Linked DNA regions of Kluyveromyces lactis. The protein of the gene in region 3 interacts with the protein of the main gene of each other region in a pairwise test. Links are inferred from orthologs where the notes say so. Each region holds a gene or a part of one and is shown on either strand. Other genes may lie near its edges.

Region 1 (2,071 bases), on a different chromosome or scaffold from region 3:
TTTTGGATGTAATCTGTCAATAGTAGAGTAGCTAGGTTCTTCTTCTGATGTTGTGGAGCAATGACGACAGAATGCACTCCAATGACAGGAGAAGAATCGTCTTGTGTGAAACTCATGCTTTCGTTGGTAATAAAAGTTAATTCCTTGGTACCGTTTTTTGGGATGGGGATCTTGGTACCAAAGATATGGCCAATCAACTTTTCTCCCAAAATCTCAGTGCCTTTAACGTCTCTAATGAAAAGACCCGAGCTCAATTCGGGGCACATCTTCAATCTGAATTCGATCTTCTCCTTTCCAGCCCTTTCTTCAGGTGGGAAGCCTTGTGCCTCTAGCTCTACTGATGCTTGGCAATCTTCTATCGTTAATGGTCTAATATAAACATGCAGTGGCAATGACGATGACATAGTGAAAATTCTTTTCTGATTTTATAATACTTAATAATGATTTCCTAATGTTGTTTCTTCAATTCTAGCCACAATAATACAATTATTTGCTCCTTATTCTAGTTTGCTTCTAAAATCAATCGAACCTTATTATCAACAATGGTATTCAACTCCTAGACCAATTGATTTTATCAACTAGTGTTAGACAGATATGATGTCTTTGTGAACTGCTCAATAACGGAAGTGATAGTCTTGTGAGATGTGTGTCTATATGTATTTGTTATCCTTATCCTTATCATCATATGTAAAACCTTAGTATATATGATTGATATTGCAATTGAATTGTTATTTTGATATTGTACAAAGGAGAAACAACAGTTGCGGCAAGAATATAGAAATTACGCACCACTTGGTAGGAATTTGTGAGTGATAACCAAATCTAAAGTTGACAGAACCTGTAAATACCGGACTGGCAAGTTGAATGGTCACCAGAGGCTTAATCTTGGACCAGAACGCCAATCATCACAGCTGGTGAACAGTGTCTCAGGGACACCTGATGTTCGTGTTTAGTGAGATGTCATGTGACCCGTACCGTCCGTTCCTAGCGAAATTGCATGTTGTTTAAGCCTTTGTAGCCAACAGCACCATCAAGTCGATGCCAATAGATACAACATTCTTGGCCTACCTTGTAGCAGCTTTTAAGGCTTTTTATGGGCTCATTTCTTTACTTTATTGCCTTCTTTCGGCCAACTACGCTTACTTTCACCATACAATCACATATTGAGAGAGCTTTGAAAGTTTCAAGAAATAAGTACCTTTGATCAAAGAGATAAAGCTGTGAGCTGACGACAACTACTGTCTATTAGTATCATTAGACTATTAAAACCTCCTGCTCTACTACTGCATCAACACATATTTATAAAACGACGGGATATGAGTAGTGTTTCAGAGATTTTGCCCCTAGAGGTCATTGACAAAACAATAGGACAGGAAGTGACCATTCTACTTAAAGATTACAGAGAATTCTTTGGTACGCTAGTAGGGTTCGATGATTACGTTAATGTTGTCATTGAAAATGCGGTAGAGTATTTGGAAGACCAGGAGATTAAAAGATTCCAGGGAAAGATGTTATTGACTGGTAACAACATTGCTATGTTGATACCTGGTGGAAAACCTGCTTCAAATTAAACAATGGAACTGCATATTGATGTTCAAAACGAAATCTGTAACATGCATGCTGTTTTTTTCTCTCTCAGATGTTTGGTATTGATATATTGACTAACATCCTTTGTAAGTATATATTATATATTTTATATGTAAAATAATTATCATATTGAAGTGCAGCTTATACAAAAAATGAATCAATGCAAACGTACGAGACGTTTGATATACCGTATCCGAAGGTTTGTTGATTTTTGTTGTTCAACTATATCATGCCAAGGGATCGAAAAACCATTCGATCTTAGTGTTTTCAAAAACTCTCATACCCATAGTTTTTGACTCTTTCATTTTGTCCAAGGTAGGATCAGCCCTGGTTATTAGCCAAGGCTTGATAACTTTTGGTTGCAAGACGTATTTGTTGATCAAGATGTATGAGATTACAGCATAAACGGCACCGACGAATAAATCGTATCTGAAATGGTGATCCAAATATTGGGTTGACCACCATTGTAAGCATACGAAAATCG
Region 2 (4,286 bases), on a different chromosome or scaffold from region 3:
CAAAATTGACCGCGTCTTTATCGTATTGGTTAACAGGATGCGTAGCACTTAAGCGCGATTGTGTATCAAAAGACTGTCCATTCCAATATTGTTGGTTCAATAACGAAGACAAGTCCGTGTTTGGAATAAAAGATTTTTCAACGACGTTTTGGCCACCGAATGAGACCAAACTTTGAGTGTCAAAGTCTCTCTGACCAGCATATTGTGTATAACTACTGTTGTTGGATGGGGCTTTCCTGGGTGCCCTAGAAGGTTTCGTCAATTGGACTGTGCAGAGTTGTAAATTATCCAAAAACCCTTCAACAAGACAACCCTTTTCTCTGAAATGAAGTAGTAGATGACTCCATAAGCTATTGCGAGATAGTGCCCTTGGGTTACCCAATATTATTAGACCGTATTTAGCACGAGTCAACGCAACATTTAGACGACGTGGGTCACTCAAGAAACCAATGGTGTTTCTCTCATTGGCACGGACACAAGACAAAATAATATAGTCTTTTTCTCTACCTTGGAAAGCATCTACTGATGCCACTTCAACGCCCATGTACAATGATTTTTCCATCGAACCATTCATTTGCATATATTGTACAACATATGCTCTCTGCCCCTCATAAGGAGTTATAACACCAATCTGTTCTGGTTTGACACCATCTTTGAATAGTCTTGTAATGATCTTTTCACAGTTCATGGCTTCAATTCTGTTCAAGTAGGAAGTACCATTGCCTGAGATCTCTTCACGACCATAGTTAGCCCAAAACATCATAGGGATAGTATGAATTGGCCATGGAAAGGTAGATCTTGCAATAGTACGTTGCTCGATGGTGACACCATTCTGTAAACTACCTTCGTAGAACATGTTGCTTGGGAATTCGCTTAATTGTGGATTCATTCTATATTGGACTTCCAATCTAATAGGAATGTGACCCAAGGAAATTAATCTTTCAAACAAAGATTGTTTCAAACCAGCGTCACCAGCTTTTCTATCTAAAATGACAGGACCAAGTTGCTGATGATCACCAACTAGAACAACTTGTTTGGCTCCCTTGACGATAGGGATCAAACATTCAGGTTCTGACGCTTGAGTACTTTCATCGATCAATACTGTGCGGAACTTATAGTCCAATCTTTTATCACCAGCGCCGACGCAAGTACAGCAAATAACATCAGCTTTTTGAATGATGGTAGCTTCTGATTTTCTCACTAACTTCACAAATTTCGTGGTATCCGATGAGGAAAGTTCCCCTGTTTTTTCCTTAAGATTGAGAAGTTTTTTGAGTTTACCTTCTGCAGACCTGCTGACCAAGTTATGCAATGCTAACTCGGACACTGAGCTCTCCACATCTTCTCTACTTTTAGCAGTTAATCGTACTACCTTTAAACCCATACTGTGCAACTTGGCAGCAAGATGATCCACTGCAACGTTAGATGGTGCACAAACTAAAACACGCTGTTTGTGGATTTTAGACAAATGATAAACAATGGTAGCTGAAGTGACGGTTTTACCGGTACCAGGAGGTCCCTGGATCAATGATAAAGGTCTTTGTAAAACATGCTTCACAGCATTACTTTGAGATTGGTTTAACTCGGTGAAGTGAGGCACAAAAATGCTTTTGGGTAATTCTACATCAAATTCCACATCTGGAACCTCTTGGCCCAATATCTTATAATACAAGAACCCTGATAATGATTTTTTGGTGACAGCAAATTTTCTTAACGCTTCTTGCATTCTAATATAAGAAGTTCCCCTCCATACAAAAACTGCTGTAAATCCTGTAGTACAATTAGTTGGTGGAGTTTTTTGACTTGGTTTCAATTCAAGAGTAAATTCATCTTTGAAACTGTTTGGTAGCTGGATGATGAAACCTTTTCCTGTCCAATCTGCATGTTGTGGACCACTATACTTTAAAATCATCTCATCACCAACGGCAACTTTTAATTCGTTAGATTCGAATGTGGATAATGCAAAAGTAGCTAGATGTCTGTTGTTCAATGCTAAATCCCATGTGACAGAGATGTGTTCTAAGGCCTGTGATTCCTTTAATTGCTTATCATAATCTGCTTCTAACTGAATCAAAGGACCAAATGATCTTTGGTACTGATAAGCATCAGTGTATCTCATCAAAGTCGGAGGAATATCTTCATCTTGTTCGACCATATCAATATCCATAATTGTAGCGTTTTTGTTTGATTTCCATCTTGCTTCCAATTTCGTAATTTGAGATGGAGTAATCATCCTGGCCTTCAACTGATCTTCTTCACTTGGTTCTTCTGCCACCCAAGATAGCATCTTCCTTTCTTCAATAAGTGGTTGCCAGTTATCTGTATCCCAATTAACATTCTTCATTTTAGCACAAGGCAATCTGCACAACAAGACCACAACAGCCTCACTCTTAGCCGGAACAAAACCAAGAACAAACACATTAGTACGTCCACAATTGTAGCATTCCAAAGTAGTATCTCCTAGCTCTGAGTCTGGATGTAATGAAACTGAAGAATGATGGGATAAAACTAAATGGTTCACAATATGGGAACTATTAGTACCATTTTTCGAATTACAAAACCATTTGCTGCAAATGTTACACTTGACAACACATGAAGTATTATCAATACCACAATATGCACAAGCATGTTCCGCAATAGGATCTGTATTAGCAGCAGTGCCGTGGAACTCAGAGTATTCCTCGTCCAGCATCTCATCAGTATCGTAGAAAAAGTTTTTGTCGTCATCGTCTCTCAAAGAAACAGATTCGTTTGAGTCCGAATCTGAATCAAACGGTTCATTTGGCAAACGCATCGTCATAAGGAAACTTGATTCTAATTGTACTGAGATAATAAAGGCACCAGTCGTGTACAATCTACTTCAAAGAATAGCTTTGAACAGAATAGATCGAACTAACCAAAAAAAAAAGTTCGCAAGAAATGAGTCAGAGTCACAAATCAAAATATGTTACTCAGCACATTGATAGATGCTCAATTTACAGAACTTCTTGAAAATACAGATAAAGTGATATAGGAAATAATAACTGTTGAAGCATATTATGATTAAATACTTTTATGTATGGAAGTTGATGCATTTTCTGATGAGATGTGAGATGAGATGTGAAGTACACAAACTGAAAAAAAAAAAAAAGAATCAGCAAATGCATGCAAAAGTCGGGTAATTAAATAGTGATTAGGTGACAGTCTATGTCCTATTACGTTTATATATTTGATGCATGAGGGTATACTGATGATTATGATTGGGGTAACTGAGGGTGGTTGAAGACTGGGGTTGTGAATTTTATTATGAGAAACTCTCTGATAAAGCCTGTTCAATGAAAGACTTTCTTCTTTTTCTTGCGTCCAAAAATGGTGGTGGATGTGAAGATGAATATTGGTTAATTGATTGAGTTCCTGACGGTATTTCTGGTATGGTTCTATTAGTGTAGGTGTTTGGATTGGCAATTGTGCTATTTGAACTTTGAGGTGAAGTTCGTAATGACATTTTTGCCAACGATGAAGAGACGGTGTCTTCTGTTCCATGAGTTGAAGCTTCGTCTGACAATTGTTTTGACTTATCAAAGAAGGATTCCGTCGCTGAATCCAATTCAGAACTTACGTATCTCTCCAAGCTGTATAAGTGTGTTGGAATGGCATTTGTAGATAAGCTAATGGACGATCTTGATCCATTGGAAGATTTAGGATCTATTGCGCCCTCGTCAGTGATATTAGTTGGGGATCCAAAAGAGAGACTGTTATTATTTATGGTATTGTTTGTATCTAGACATCCAACAGAAGAAGCAATGCTCTGTCTTGTGGGTTGTTTAGACAATGGAATGACTATACTGTTTGTCCTTGAGACTGGGTTTGAATCTAGCGAGAAACTGTATCCATTGTAAGAAGCGGACGATTTCGATCTAGGTTTCCTTAGCCCGTGGCAGTTCGAACATACCACACAACCACACTTTGATGGTGATCCAATTTTCCCCTTCAAAGAAGTATCTCCACGCATCATATTCGAACGGAATGGGTTCCCTCCAAGCTCTACCTCCTGAAACTCTTCTTCATTATCACTGGGAATCTTATAGTACAGCGTTTCCTCCTGCAATGGATTCAATTCATACAGTGAATCTTCTGCACGACTGTGTATCTCGAGTGGTTCTTGATCATCATTGTAAAAAGTAGAGCAAAAGGGGTCCTGCACTGATCTCTCAAATATGGAGCCTCTTTCATTGGGACAACCACAATGGCACACTAAAGGCTTTACTCCTTCATCTGATTCCAGACGTTCATCCAACATGGAAAAA
Region 3 (4,232 bases):
GGATTGAAGTGTTCTAGTAGATGGAAATATGATACATTTGTAATAGTAAATAGAAGAATTACTTAGATACTATAAAGCTGACTTTTTTTTGCAATTTTTTTCCTTGAGATTTGATTTCGAATTTGTAGCACACAGTTAACAGTGGCAATCGAGATAGGGGCTGATCAGAGGAGGCGCACGATATCGATCACTTCAGTTCAGTGATTTCACCATCACGAGCAACAAGACCCATGACATTCAAGAACAAGTTCAAATCCTGATAGAACTTGTTTCTTTGATAAGCCAGTTTAGGGTCTTGTTGAGAAGGGGCATTTAGTTCTTCAGCCTTTGAAATGACTTCGAAAATTTCGTCTCTCACTTCATCAATCAATATACGTTGATGGTTCAATTTTCCGCTCAAAGCAAGCGATGCAAGGAACTGCCAGATGTAAGATTGATCATACTGAGTAGAATCCTGTTCATAAACTGAAATGGCGTGTTGCATATATTCAGGTGTTGGGAAAATTGCAGTCAATTTTGTTTCTAAAGAAGTAAATAGCCTATCATAGACTTCACTCCAAGTGGATACTTCCACAGAAGACAACAGTTTGCCCCTGCTAACATCTTGTTTCATCAAAGCAGCACGTGAAATGAGCACGGTAATCAAATTCAAACCGATACGCGATGTGGTGATGAAAGAAACGTTATTATTCTGAATGACATTTATTAGTAGACTCATTACCTCCAAAAACTCTGCTGAACTGGATAAGAACGAAACAATGATCTTCAAAAACACAGATTGGAACAATTCCATCTTCTTCAGTTGATCTTTAGTAGGAAGTGGAGTAGTCTTGTACGATGATATGACAATGACATTCAAATGAGAAAGTTCCTTGAAGAAGCAGTTGAAAAGCTTAATCTTCTCTTCTCTTGACAAGAAATTCATAATACGTGGCATAATCTTGATACCTTTGTCGAAAGATAAGATGGAAATGAAGGGAGAAACGTCAAAACCGTGGTCCTCAACGTGTAGCGCCTCCCATAATTTTGAACTGTCCGGCTGTTGACCGGATCTCAATTGAGCTTCTAGTTCAAGCACTTCTTCGTAAACAGTTTCAATCAATGATAAAATGAACTTACGGCCACCAGAACGGGATAAAACTGTACGATGGTCCACTGAAGAACTCAAAGCATAAGATGATCTTCTTCTTTTGGCATTGATATCCACGCCTTGCAAAGATTCAGACACCTCATCTAGGGCTGAGCTTGATTGAGAAGACAACGCTGGAGAATCCTCTTTGTGAGTTGGGATTTGTAATTGCTTTCTTGGAGCTTTTGAGTTCCTAGTAGCTGAGATTTTACCCAAGACACCCTCTTTGGCATTATCCAACCCACCCTTACTTTTCTGTGGTCTTTCTTTCGCAACGGTAACAGCCTTCTCGACCTGAGATTGCATTCTCTGTAACGCGACGTCAGTTCTCTTGTAACGACCTCCTAATCTGTGACCCGAGTGCTCTAAATATGCTTTAGCAATAGAATCCTTATTAGATTCAGATGGAGTGACACCCCTTTGAATGATTTTATAAACTTGGAAGTAGAAATCCTCATTGTAGGGATCATCAGTGACAATTTGAGATAACTGATACCTGGTGATAAAATCCTTGTCTCTTGGAGTCATTACACCAGAGTGTCTGAGAATTTTGTCAACCTTCGATTGTCTGATTTGAAGACGTCTCAATTCTTCATCAGTCAAAGGATCTTGGGTGCCAAACCTCCTTGGACCACGGCGATACTCTCTAGGTGTATGAGGTGGAGTTGGCACCTGCTCTGATTCTGTTGGCACAGGTGTTGGAGAGTTAGAATGCTCATAATCTTGAGTAGAACGGACAGCTTGGGTTCTAGCAGCAGTGTCAACGGAGTGAGGCTGTTGGAACACTTGTTGCTGTTGGTGTTGTTGTTGGTGCTGCTGATCTTGTTGGTGTTGTTGAGGCAAGTATTGGGGAGGTAACTGCTGTTGGTGGGGCTGCTGGGGCTGAACAGGAGGTTGATTTTGCATTGGTGGCATAGCCATCTGCGGATGTTGCATATGATGTGCAATGTTTCCTTGTGTTTGATTGTACATTATCGGTGGTACTTGTTGGAATTGTTCCTGAGGGTTAACAGGTTGATTAGGAAATCCGGCATTACCGAATTGATTAGGGATAACAGGGGGAATATTTTGCCCAGGGAATTGCTGGTATTGACCTTGAGGGAACCCTTGTGGAATAAAGCCGTAGCCAGGGTTCTGCGGAGGTTGCATACCATAGAATCCAGGTTGAGGCGGCATAGCCATCTGTTGTTGTCTGTCTAAAGATTGAATGGCCAATCCTTCCACATTAGGTGCACCTTGCTGTTGAACCTGTGGTGGGGCTTGGAATTGTGTAGGGGCTTGAGGTTGCACCTGTTGTTGCTGATTACCGGAGCTGTTACCCCATAAAGATTCCATAGGTTGCATGTCCAGCGATTGTTCGAAACCAGGTTTACAGTCTGCTTGTCTGTTCATTTTGGCATTTGCAATAGATGCATAAGAAACAGGAGCTGGTGCTGGTGCCCTACCAGAACCTGAACCAGCGCCAAGCTCCCCTTTACCGTAACCAAAATCAAAATCTGTACCCAGATCCGCTCCAGTACCAAAAGTTTCATCATTGAGCAAATCATCTTCCTCTGGCTCATAATCACCCAAGCCTTGATACGTTTCTTCGAAATCTAAAGAATCCTCCTCGCCTTGCTGTTTCCTCTCACGAGGTTTTCGGCCCGTGGCGTCAAAACCGAAGAATGACATCGTTCAGTGATTCAGGAATATAAGGACTCCTATACTAATTGGGCAAAAATCGATTTCTAGATCAGAATTGTCGACAAATCCTATTATATTCTCTTAAAAACACAAGTAATGTGATTTAAGTCGCTACCTGCCTGCGTTTCGTTCAAGCAATCTTCCAACAAACGGTCTCTGAATATCTCTGATCACTTATTTTTGAGCATAGAAACTACTTTGCTTGTTAAGTGAATTACATTTTTGGGTTGTTGTTTGATGAAAAATTTCACCGTGCAAGATGATATACATATTAAGGATTTCTAGTTCAAAATTTGAAATTCAGGTCATGTGATTTCAAATATTTGACATTTTTCAACATGGTAGTTTAGAAAGTTCCAATACAAACTCGTACGTAGTCTTTCTTTCCTTCATTAGCAGCATATATAAAGTGATTGCGAATAGACAAAGATGACATATACTACTAACATCCTAGGTACAGCTATCTGGAAAATATATCAGCTTAGCAGTTTAGTCTTAAACCTAAGTAATAAAAGATATCTGATCTAATAGCAGTGACCAAGTTCTAATAATTTTAATCTGATTAGCAGTGAAAATACTGATTTGTATGAAGATCTGAATCAAGTATAGTGCTCGAAAAGAATCAACTCAGACTGGTAAAGTGGACTTAACTGCAACTTGGAGAGTACGAAATATCTAAACTATAATCTTGGATTTGATACTAGAAAATGAAACAGAGATTGAGTTCGTTAGATTTGCAACTGATATCCAAAGAGTTGGAGAATCAAATTGTAGGATTTCGCTTAAGAAATATCTATAACATTGCTGACTCAAACAGGCAATTCTTATTAAAGTTTGGAAAACCCGATTCCAAGTTAAACGTTGTCATTGATTGCGGATTGCGAGTTCATACTACTGACTTTACCAGGCCGATTCCCCCGACTCCTTCGTGGTTTGTTTCCAAATTGAGATCGTATTTGAAAGAAAAACGATTGACGGCAGTTAAGCAGATCCCAAATGACAGAATAATTGTGTTTACTTTTGCTGATGGTAAGTACTACCTTGTTTTAGAATTTTTCAGTGCCGGAAATGTGCTTTTATTGGATGCTGACCAAAAAATTCTTTTACTACAGAGAGTTGTCGATGATTATTCGATGAAAGTTGGTGAATTTTATGACATGGCCAACTTTGCAGAAATTAACCAAACTTCAACTACGGTTCCTGATCCTAAGGAATATTTCGAAAATGAAATAGCAGATTGGTTGAAAGAAGCCGACGTTAAAGCCAAAAGCACAATTGTGCCCGGAGAGGCTAAAAAAGGTAAACTCAAGGGAAAAGCATCTGTTCCGTCTATTCAAAAACTTTTATTTGTTCATGCTCCACATTTATCAAGTGATTTGATTCAAAACTCGTTGAAAGCTATTGGTATTGATCCATCTTC
Region 4 (1,973 bases), on a different chromosome or scaffold from region 3:
ATTGTTAAATACAATATACAGGACGATACTTATCAATGTGGTGCGCCTGGATTGAAACCCTCTGCGTGCACACCGTTATTCCTGGAGCTATTCAAGACGCTGGGTGCCTCGTGCGTCATACACACGCACTCTATCAATGCGGTGCTTTGTTCAATGATATATGAGAAGGAGTTTACCATCAAGGACATTGAACAAATCAAGGCGATACCCAAAGGTGACGGTACCAATTTGAGGAACGTTGATACCCTACGTATTCCAATCATCGATAACGCTCCAGAAGAACAGGATCTCATGCCAGCGTTGAAGCAAATGATTAAGGATTATCCAAATGCATGTGCGGTACTGGTGAAAAGACATGGACTCTTCGTTTGGGGCCCCACGCCAAAGAAAGCCAAGATATACATCGAGTCCATCGATTACCTCTTTGAAGTAGCTCTCAAAATGAAAGAACTCGGTCAATGAAAGGGAGACCAGCAGCTGTGTATAACATTATTTATATTTCATCTGTTAGCCCATCGCTCACTCCAAATGTCTATTTCTTCTTTAAACGGTAACTTATTCTTACACGCTGGGAACTTCTGAAGTTTTGCCAGTTCTTTTTCTTCTGGTATATCATCTATCAGCCCACATAATACCACTTCACTACTCCGTATAATGCATATCTTGCTGTCCTTTAAAAGAATCATGTTTCCCGCATGATCAAACCCTTTCATTTCACCATAGTATGTGTCTCCATCGACATTGACCAACATCACCTTCTTGTCCAAATAATCTTTCAATAGAGCACTCATTGTCCATTCACTGTTCTAGCAAACAAGGGGGCAGTTATGTGGATATCTTCGCTCCGATGGATCGTTATCTTTTCTTCGTTACTATTATAATTTGAAAGTAATGTTTTCTATTTGAAGATTCTCTATTATCAATAACAACAACATCTTCAACAAAGAAGAATCACACATCATAACAGAAGTATACAGGCTTCTACAGCAGTTATCTAGAGTTGTGTTGTGGCTAATATTGTTAGAAGCTCCGAATCACGGTTGAAATGGCGGAAGAGAATGAAAGTGAGACCGATTACGGGTCTTCTCCCTTTAAAAAGATTCCAGACGCCGACAAACAGATCTTAGAATGGACTAGTCGTCTAGAGTTGGAGACTGTGCAGTTGCGGGACACGTCTGAGAGTCTATTCAAGATTATCAAGGAGAACGTGGATGAATTGAGCCATTCGCGAAAGTTATTCCAAGCAGAACTTGACAGTAGAAAAGGTATGGTTTCTATGCACAATGAAAGGAATATCTACTTAGTATAAGGGCATTTACTTAGTTCTATCTACGTGGATTGGTCGTTGATTGATACCCTTTAGGAATGATTCTTTGTAAGAGTCACTACGGTCAGTTTTTACTAACTAGGAAAATAACGGATGAGACTCCGAGAAGTCGCCGTTATTTCTGTGTGTATTTAGATGGTAATCAAGAAACGGGAACGGAGATTGTCTCTGAAGTAAAGTCTCGTTTGGATCAATTAAAGGCATCAAGCGGTGAAAGTTTGCAACTTTTAGCGGATAATATTACGAAGCAGATGGATAAACGACATCGAGAATGGATGGACAGATTTACCATGAATGAAAATGTCATGTTCAATGTCGTGCAACAAATGCAAGACCTCACGGATGCCATCCAGACGTTGCATGAAGATATGAGGTTAGCTAGCAAGAGGCAGGCGTTGCTTGAGAAAAGATTGAGACATGAATCTATCGCTACGCCTGAATCTCAACACCTAAATCAAAACCAGACACAACGACTCAGGGTATTAATCCCCTGGGAAGAAGTTCAAGAGTGCGAAATGAAATGATTGACCACATTTCTGTCGGCATCGATGGCAATGGTAAGATTTGTTTTGCCGAACGCGGTGTTCGGGTCAATGAAGTTTTTATAATATAGTTCATAACAAGGCATATATCTATCAACAAACGC
Region 5 (2,242 bases), about 2.0 Mb from region 3:
ATCCGGTTTGGATTTGGCAAATCCCGAGTTACCTTCACAGAGTTTTAAGAAATTCTCCGCCGTCTTTGGAACAACATCAGAATACAACTCGAAAACAATCCGACCAGCAGGTTTGCCCCCAATCGAAATATCGAAAAATGTCTTAGGTCTTGTTTCACTCATATTCAAATTCAATGAGCTAACTCGTATGTGTACTTTTTTCTCCACGTAGGTAGAAATAATGCAGGGTTAGTTTGCTTCTTCAAAATAACAACCGCTTTGCCGTAACCTACCTTTAAGATCAATGATACAAGCTGGGTTTGTCAAGAGAGGTTACTAATGGACTTTACTCAATTTATACTTCTTTTTCAGCCGTTCTCATTGTACTTTTGTTGTGGTTTTTTCAAGGCTAGATCGATAAAAGATGGAAAGCTTCGAATTTGCTAGAAAACCTTTAAAAATATATCAATACATGAACGAACCGTAAACACAGTGATAAATGAATATCTGAAGCGCCTGAACTAATTACTTTCAGGATTAGGTCTTAACTTCTTCATATAAACTTCATTACTGTTATCTGCTTCAGAGCCAGATCCCTCATCTAAACCATCGGCTTCGAGACCAGATTCAGACTCGGACCCTGTTTCTGAATCGTTAGTTTCGTGATCTTGCCAAACCGATGAATTATATGATGAGTCTTTAATATCCATAATGTCATTCAGAACACTTTTATAAGACACTGAACCACCATCTGGTAGCGAACTATGTAGAACTGATTTTTCGTTGCTCAAGTTTCGTAAATGGCCATTATCTTCTATGACTTCTCCAGTTTGTAAATCTATTACATCACCTTGATTATCTATACTTTCATATTTTTGTATGATCTGGGACCATACGCGTTTCATATTCTCGTCTGCTTTCTTATGACGCTCCATAACCTCTTCGTCTGACAATTTAGGAATTAATCGATTCTCTTTAGACATGATGTAAACCACACCATCTCGAGTAATTTGTTTTAGATTCTCTTCTTTCTTTGGCTCCTCTTCGCCTAGCAAATCCCTTAATGCACCTGTCAATCTTCGAAGATTAGCCTTCTTCTTACTATTTGATGGTCTTTTAATCATCAATAAAGCACTATTGCTGTAATTCTACTTGGAAACTTCACCTATGGTCCGGGAACTGGTTAAATTTCGTTATGTTCTGGTGTAAATGTTGTATTGAAACGATTATTCATTATCCTTAACTAAAATATGTCAATTTAAATGTTGCGCTGCGTAGACTAAAAATATTCAGATGGGTATTCGCATATACAATTAAATGGGTCTATATACAATATGTGGAGTATTTCGACAAAGCTTCACAGTGAAGGATCTTTTTACACCTGTAAATGCAAATCTCAATGTTCTTTTGCATCGACTGTCCCCACTCTCTGGTCATTACCCTTGGATTGCCAACAATCTTTGAACAGTTTCATTTCACCAAGACACTGTCTCCAATCATTAGTCTCTGCATGGCAAAGTTGTAAAGCTAGATTCTCTACGTAACAGCCTGTGTTCGATATTCTCTTGTCCCAGGCATCAGGATCTTCTTTATCCATATCCTGATACTCCGCTAATGCTTCCTTGTAGTATTTTGATTCTCCTGCAGACATAATTGAAAGTATGAAGCTACGACAGAATAATTGCTATTGACTCGGTCAACGTATCACTGTAGACTGTGATAGTCGTTTCAAGATTAACTGTTGCATGTACTATTGCACTTATTGTATTGTATTCTACTAAATTAACCATTTATACTTCAGTGTTTTTACTTTTCCAATTAAACCTTGCTCTCGATTGTTCTTTATGGCCACTGAACTAATTTTCCGTTCCAAAAGCTTGATTGAGCTACAAAAGGTTTAATGACTATTAATATAAGAAAAGAAAGCTGTGTTAAAAAACGTCAGAGATCCCCAAACTGCAATACAACACTATTGATCTATGTAATAAACGACCAGGCTGCGGTTTGCGTTGGCGTAATTGCACCGGGAGATCACGTGATATAAATGCTTTCAAGATTATGCAATCTCCAGGCACACAACATATTCAGTACTTAGTGCGGGATACCTACTATAAACTCAATAATTGTACAGTAACATAGGTAGTAAGATCCCTTTTCGAGTATACATTGTCCATGTTGTTGTCCCTTTGGATGGTGTCTCGCCTAATTTTGGGCCAGATCTCGACTGCAAAAAAATAATTTGCTGAAGTTTTTATAAATGATG
Region 6 (2,001 bases), on a different chromosome or scaffold from region 3:
ATTCTCAAAAAAAAACTACAACATGATATGAGGTTCGCGGTTTGTTTGATCTGAAAGCTTTCTTTATCACAGAATAAATAAGAAACTACGAAAGGAACCTCTTTGATCTCCTTTTCTCTAACGATATGACAATAAATTTTCTCTTTTAAGAATCATGATATAAAAATTTGAAAAGAGTAATGTATAACTCACTGGTACAAGGTTAATATATATTATTATTGTATTAGATATCTACATATTCTTATTATTTTAAAATAAAATCAGAATTTAAATTTATGTATGCTTTGGTGCTTTATATATGTGCATCGTAGTATTTTTTAACACTTTCCGCTTTGATAACGTTCCATCTTTATAGTATACAATTATATACTTTTGTATATAAATTATTATTAGTATTATCATATTATTGTAGTTATTGAGCTTCTGAGCAAATAGGACACTTTATAATATCGACTTACAAAAGTCATTGGTCGAAGTCAATCTTATTGCCCAATCGAAGCCTATTTTTCGCTAATGTATAACACCTGCGATCCCCTTAGAAATACTTCAGAAGGATATTTATGCAAAGTTCCGTTCTCTTCTGCCTCATAATGTTCCGACACTTGTGACATTGTGACGTTCATAAACCCATCAATTGATTCTAGCTTACCTTGATACAATATTCCTGAGAATAGCTTGACGTATACTGGTTTTCCAATGATGTTCTCCAAAAAGGAGCCAGAAGCCGTTGCCTTAGATTCCATGATGTGTTAACAATCTATGCCTTTGAAATTTGGTAGCGTCGAAATAAAGATATGAAGAAGCCTGTAGTTCTTGCATCTGAACCTACTCTCATCATTCTCCATCAGTTCAACGTTATATTAACAAAGTTCACTTTTCATTGTTCACGTTGAAGTAAAAGGGAAAGAATGTTCTAGTCACGTGATCTGTGGTAAAGTGAATTAAGTGATATGCAGTAAGTAATAAATTAATTAATTAAATGAATGGAAGGGAACAGCGCAGATTATAGTAATATATTGCTCTAGCTTGGAAACAAATGTCAAAGGTTCTTCCTGGATACATTCCGACAACAACCAGCATTCTTTGACTCCAATTTTAGCCAAAATCTTCGAACTCTAAGACCTTGAAACAAAGAAACTGAACTCCAAATCACGCCTGCACACCACATAGTTCAAACATTCTCAAACCTGGTTCCTGATTTTGTTTCAATGCATATATACATTTCGAAACCGTTGAGAGACAGCACTAATTTACCTTAGTGGCTCTCTGCAGCTGATAGATATGCTATATCAATTCAGCTAGAATATAATTGACGTGGTGTGCTGTTTACGTTTCCCTATCTAATTGACTTCCATATTTAGCACTGGTTAGGACCGATTGTACATATATATAATCAAGATTGAGACACGATTTATTTATATCAACTCGCTTCAAACGTTTCGGATTTTAACAAGATAGGGCTGCATTCACTCTCGATCAAAACATTCCTTGAGTTAATTGAACCCTCGTATCTATATTTCGATCTCAACATTCATATTGAGGGAATTTACTCCGTCCACGAGGAACAGCTTGGAATTCTTTTCCCTTATATAGTACTCTCTAACGGTGCGTGGCAAGAAAATATCATAGTATAAAGCCGCTGCTAATACATCTCTCTATTAACTTTTTTTTTTTTTTGGTGTGTCGTGCTCTTTGTGCGTGTTCTGTTATTATTATACTTTCGATTCGAAGATTAATCTTAGATTTCTTTTCAGCTTTTGATCCATTAGATCAAAAAGTTATTGATCCAGGGACAAACGAACACACTACAAGACCATCACCTCCACAGCGTGCTACATCTGCAAAACTAATTACCGTATGTCTGCCTCTCCGAAGGGGGCTGCTGAGACGTCAGTATGTGTTCGTTGTACGAACCATATTACTATGGGTCATGCGTACGAATTAGGCGGAAATAGATGGCACACCCACTGTTTCTCCTGCTACAAATGTGATAAGCCTCTA
Region 7 (2,404 bases), on a different chromosome or scaffold from region 3:
AAACACCCTTGTCACATATGTGGCAAGTGAGTCGATCGCTAAGAATTAATGATACGCCGGACGAATCATTAATATCACAACTGGGGAGGTTGGAAATCAGTAATTATAACAAATTTCAAAAGACATACGATCAAGAATTAACGACGCTCGCTGGCAAATGAGTTGATCCGTTAGTTAAGAATTAATTTTGACCGTTATAATGGTTCTATTTTATGTCAAATGGGGATTATTGTCCCATTAATTTTTTTTTTTTTTTTTTTGGAATGCCATGCCGCGCTATCTATGCATTTTACTTATTATGAATAGTACAGTACCGAACCATATATAAGTGAATATATATATCTCTATGTGATATATAATTGAGTATCAAAAGATAAATACCCTTCAAAACCACACGATCTCCAGTTTGTGTAATGATTTAGTTTAGTTTAGTTTAGTTTCGAATTGTATGTTTTACGATTTTTTTTTGCTTGTCTTTTAAACTAATTATAATCTTATACTTAATACAAATCACCTTTATTGAAATCGGTAGTTAAACCAAGCTGCGCTAGTCTCTTACCCTTAGCAGTGTTCTCCTTGTATTTCACCTCGTCCATTTTCTCCTTATAGCTTTCAGCTTCCTCAAATGGAACACGTTCCATCGATTCCAATGGTGCATCCTCCTTATCGATGTCTACTTCGCCCAACATAACAACGTTTTCACCTCTTATCATGAAAACTCCTCTGTCACATTCACCATATTTATTCTCACCCTCGATATATATTCTTTCCACCGTATGCTGTAGTATTAAGTTGGCATATTGATCAAACGTCCTTAGTACACCGAAGAACATACGGCCATCGCGCAATAGTACGAATATCTTGCGGTCTACTGAGCCAACAATGGCAGCTGTAGTTGTGAAATTGTATTGGTCCAAATATAAATCTGCTTCACCTTCTGATAGCTTGGACTTAGGACGATTTTCTTCCACATCGGAAGCCACTGGTTCAGTAACTCCTACTGAACTTGCTCTGTCGCTATTCGGAGACGAAGAGGACATTTGTAATTTGAGACTCTGATTCTTTCAATGAGCAAGTGAAAAAAAAAAAAAAGATTATAATGAATTGTAAAATTCAACACTGATTGTGATAGTTCTGGGTATCACTTGAAGGATAAATAGGCCGTTAAAGCGTCCAACGATTCATCTTTTTGGCAGTTCATTGCAATTCCATTTGATGTTGAGCTAGCTGAAACGAATTGAAGAAAAAAAATGTATGGTAACGTTGAGGCAGGGTAACTATAGGATGACTACCTTTGCTACAGGACCGCATAGTCATTGCACAGACAAGGCACAAATGGTTAGCTTGATGATTCTGTTTCCAAGTAGGTGAAAGGTGCTGCCAATCCGGATACTAAGTAGGGACGTCATGACTCCGTATCATAGTATTGATTGCTGGATTTTCCGGGATTTTGTTTCCCTGCCATGCGTATTTGAGGGATAATAGTATGATTTCCAAAATGTACATATTTCAAAGATGTCTTAATTTAGTATTGCGTATATAAAGGCAGCAACAATTACTGGGGTGACCTGACTTAATTAGACTGAAGTATTTAACTGAGTAAAAGTTCGAATTTTTTATAGAGGGGGACATTGACAATCAGTATCTTCAATTCATCATGTCTATGTTTAAAACCATCCAATTTCAACCTCGCGTAGTGACATTATTCACACACAAATTAGAATCATCTCATGCTCAAAATCTTCTAACGGCATTAAAATCGAACCACAAGAACAAAATCAACATTGAAATATGCCAGAAATTCCCTACTAGAGATCAATTGGAATATTTGGCAAAAATTGATAAGCCCGACTTAATGGAACAGATTCCTAAGACGGAATCTCTTTTGAAAAAAGCTGCTGAGGATCCACTATTTGGGTCACCATTGCAGAAATGTGTCGAGAATGGGTCTTGGAATAAACAGACGAGCTTATGGGTTGACTGGGAAAAAGCTGTATTAGGCACGACGGTTCAATCGTTGAAAGAGAAATGGTTACCAAAAAACTGATATGGGAGTATAATAATGATGATTAATAACAGTAATTAGGGTTTTAAAATATGTATGTAAAAGACACTTCACAAATTCATTCTGCTTATGACGTATTGTTGGGCAAGAATACCGAAAGTTAGATCAAGACCTTCGGATATCCATGGTTTCACCCAATCACTTGGGTCGATTTTTTCTGTGGATTCCTCATCGCTTAGTGCATCGGATTGTAACCATTTGGCCCATTTGGAGGGGTAACCTTGGGATCTCACTATTAGCAAGATATCATTACTTATGTCTTTCAAGATGACAATGAAATGGAAGTTGTTTTGTCTCGATGCGTCGATCAAAACAGTGTTAGAATCGGCTTCGGATGAT

Evidence for each region.
Region 1: the proteins of PAT1 (region 3) and LSM5 interact in binary tests that used the Saccharomyces cerevisiae proteins (3 or more experiments, as listed by UniProt). The link is inferred for Kluyveromyces lactis from reciprocal best matches to the Saccharomyces cerevisiae genes PAT1 and LSM5.
Region 2: the proteins of PAT1 (region 3) and NAM7 interact in a two-hybrid assay, tested with the Saccharomyces cerevisiae proteins (2 studies listed by BioGRID, with this or other methods). The link is inferred for Kluyveromyces lactis from reciprocal best matches to the Saccharomyces cerevisiae genes PAT1 and NAM7.
Region 4: the proteins of PAT1 (region 3) and LSM8 interact in a two-hybrid assay, tested with the Saccharomyces cerevisiae proteins (2 studies listed by BioGRID). The link is inferred for Kluyveromyces lactis from reciprocal best matches to the Saccharomyces cerevisiae genes PAT1 and LSM8.
Region 5: the proteins of PAT1 (region 3) and SCM3 interact in a two-hybrid assay, tested with the Saccharomyces cerevisiae proteins (2 studies listed by BioGRID). The link is inferred for Kluyveromyces lactis from reciprocal best matches to the Saccharomyces cerevisiae genes PAT1 and SCM3.
Region 6: the proteins of PAT1 (region 3) and LSM6 interact in binary tests that used the Saccharomyces cerevisiae proteins (3 or more experiments, as listed by UniProt). The link is inferred for Kluyveromyces lactis from reciprocal best matches to the Saccharomyces cerevisiae genes PAT1 and LSM6.
Region 7: the proteins of PAT1 (region 3) and LSM1 interact in binary tests that used the Saccharomyces cerevisiae proteins (3 or more experiments, as listed by UniProt). The link is inferred for Kluyveromyces lactis from reciprocal best matches to the Saccharomyces cerevisiae genes PAT1 and LSM1.

The regions. Positions count from the first base shown.
Region 1 is NC_006041.1:902,701-904,771, reverse strand, and holds LSM5 (RNA-binding protein LSM5), read left to right. Parts: upstream 1-1,316; coding exon 1,317-1,571; downstream 1,572-2,071. Other genes in the region: PAA1 (polyamine acetyltransferase), read right to left, coding at 1-404; IPT1 (inositolphosphotransferase), read right to left, coding at 1,815-2,071. UniProt on the Saccharomyces cerevisiae protein: Component of LSm protein complexes, which are involved in RNA processing and may function in a chaperone-like manner. Component of the cytoplasmic LSM1-LSM7 complex which is involved in mRNA degradation by activating the decapping step.
Region 2 is NC_006038.1:566,422-570,707, reverse strand, and holds the start of NAM7 (ATP-dependent RNA helicase NAM7), read right to left. Parts: upstream 2,801-4,286; coding exon 1-2,800. Other genes in the region: MBR1 (Mbr1p), read right to left, coding at 3,284-4,279. UniProt on the Saccharomyces cerevisiae protein: RNA-dependent helicase required for nonsense-mediated decay (NMD) of aberrant mRNAs containing premature stop codons and modulates the expression level of normal mRNAs. Also capable of unwinding double-stranded DNA and translocating on single-stranded DNA.
Region 3 is NC_006042.1:2,529,516-2,533,747, reverse strand, and holds PAT1 (deadenylation-dependent mRNA-decapping factor PAT1), read right to left. Parts: upstream 2,801-4,232; coding exon 188-2,800; downstream 1-187. Other genes in the region: RQC2 (Rqc2p), read left to right, coding at 3,520-4,232. UniProt on the Saccharomyces cerevisiae protein: Activator of decapping that functions as a general and active mechanism of translational repression and required for P-body formation. First decay factor recruited to mRNA, at a time when the mRNA is still associated with translation factors.
Region 4 is NC_006041.1:1,467,258-1,469,230, forward strand, and holds LSM8 (U4/U6-U5 snRNP complex subunit LSM8), read right to left. Parts: upstream 792-1,973; coding exon 501-791; downstream 1-500. Other genes in the region: methylthioribulose 1-phosphate dehydratase MDE1, read left to right, coding at 1-462; TDA10 (putative ATP-dependent kinase), read right to left, coding at 1,830-1,973. UniProt on the Saccharomyces cerevisiae protein: Component of the nuclear LSM2-LSM8 complex, which is involved in spliceosome assembly. The LSM2-LSM8 complex plays a role in the biogenesis of the spliceosomal U4/U6-U5 tri-snRNP complex by accelerating PRP24-mediated annealing of U4/U6 di-snRNA.
Region 5 is NC_006042.1:503,592-505,833, forward strand, and holds SCM3 (Scm3p), read right to left. Parts: upstream 1,104-2,242; coding exon 501-1,103; downstream 1-500. Other genes in the region: peptidylprolyl isomerase CPR6, read right to left, coding at 1-162; COA4 (Coa4p), read right to left, coding at 1,376-1,630. UniProt on the Saccharomyces cerevisiae protein: Centromeric protein that plays a central role in the incorporation and maintenance of histone H3-like variant CENPA at centromeres.
Region 6 is NC_006041.1:232,660-234,660, forward strand, and holds LSM6 (U4/U6-U5 snRNP complex subunit LSM6), read right to left. Parts: upstream 744-2,001; coding exon 501-743; downstream 1-500. Other genes in the region: GTPase-activating protein RGA2, read left to right, coding at 1,858-2,001. UniProt on the Saccharomyces cerevisiae protein: Component of LSm protein complexes, which are involved in RNA processing and may function in a chaperone-like manner. Component of the cytoplasmic LSM1-LSM7 complex which is involved in mRNA degradation by activating the decapping step.
Region 7 is NC_006041.1:1,347,993-1,350,396, reverse strand, and holds LSM1 (Lsm1p), read right to left. Parts: upstream 1,041-2,404; coding exon 501-1,040; downstream 1-500. Other genes in the region: KLLA0_E15181g (uncharacterized protein), read left to right, coding at 1-161; FMP46 (putative redox protein), read left to right, coding at 1,658-2,047; DUF5427 domain-containing protein MTC1, read right to left, coding at 2,116-2,404. UniProt on the Saccharomyces cerevisiae protein: Component of the cytoplasmic LSM1-LSM7 complex which is involved in mRNA degradation by activating the decapping step.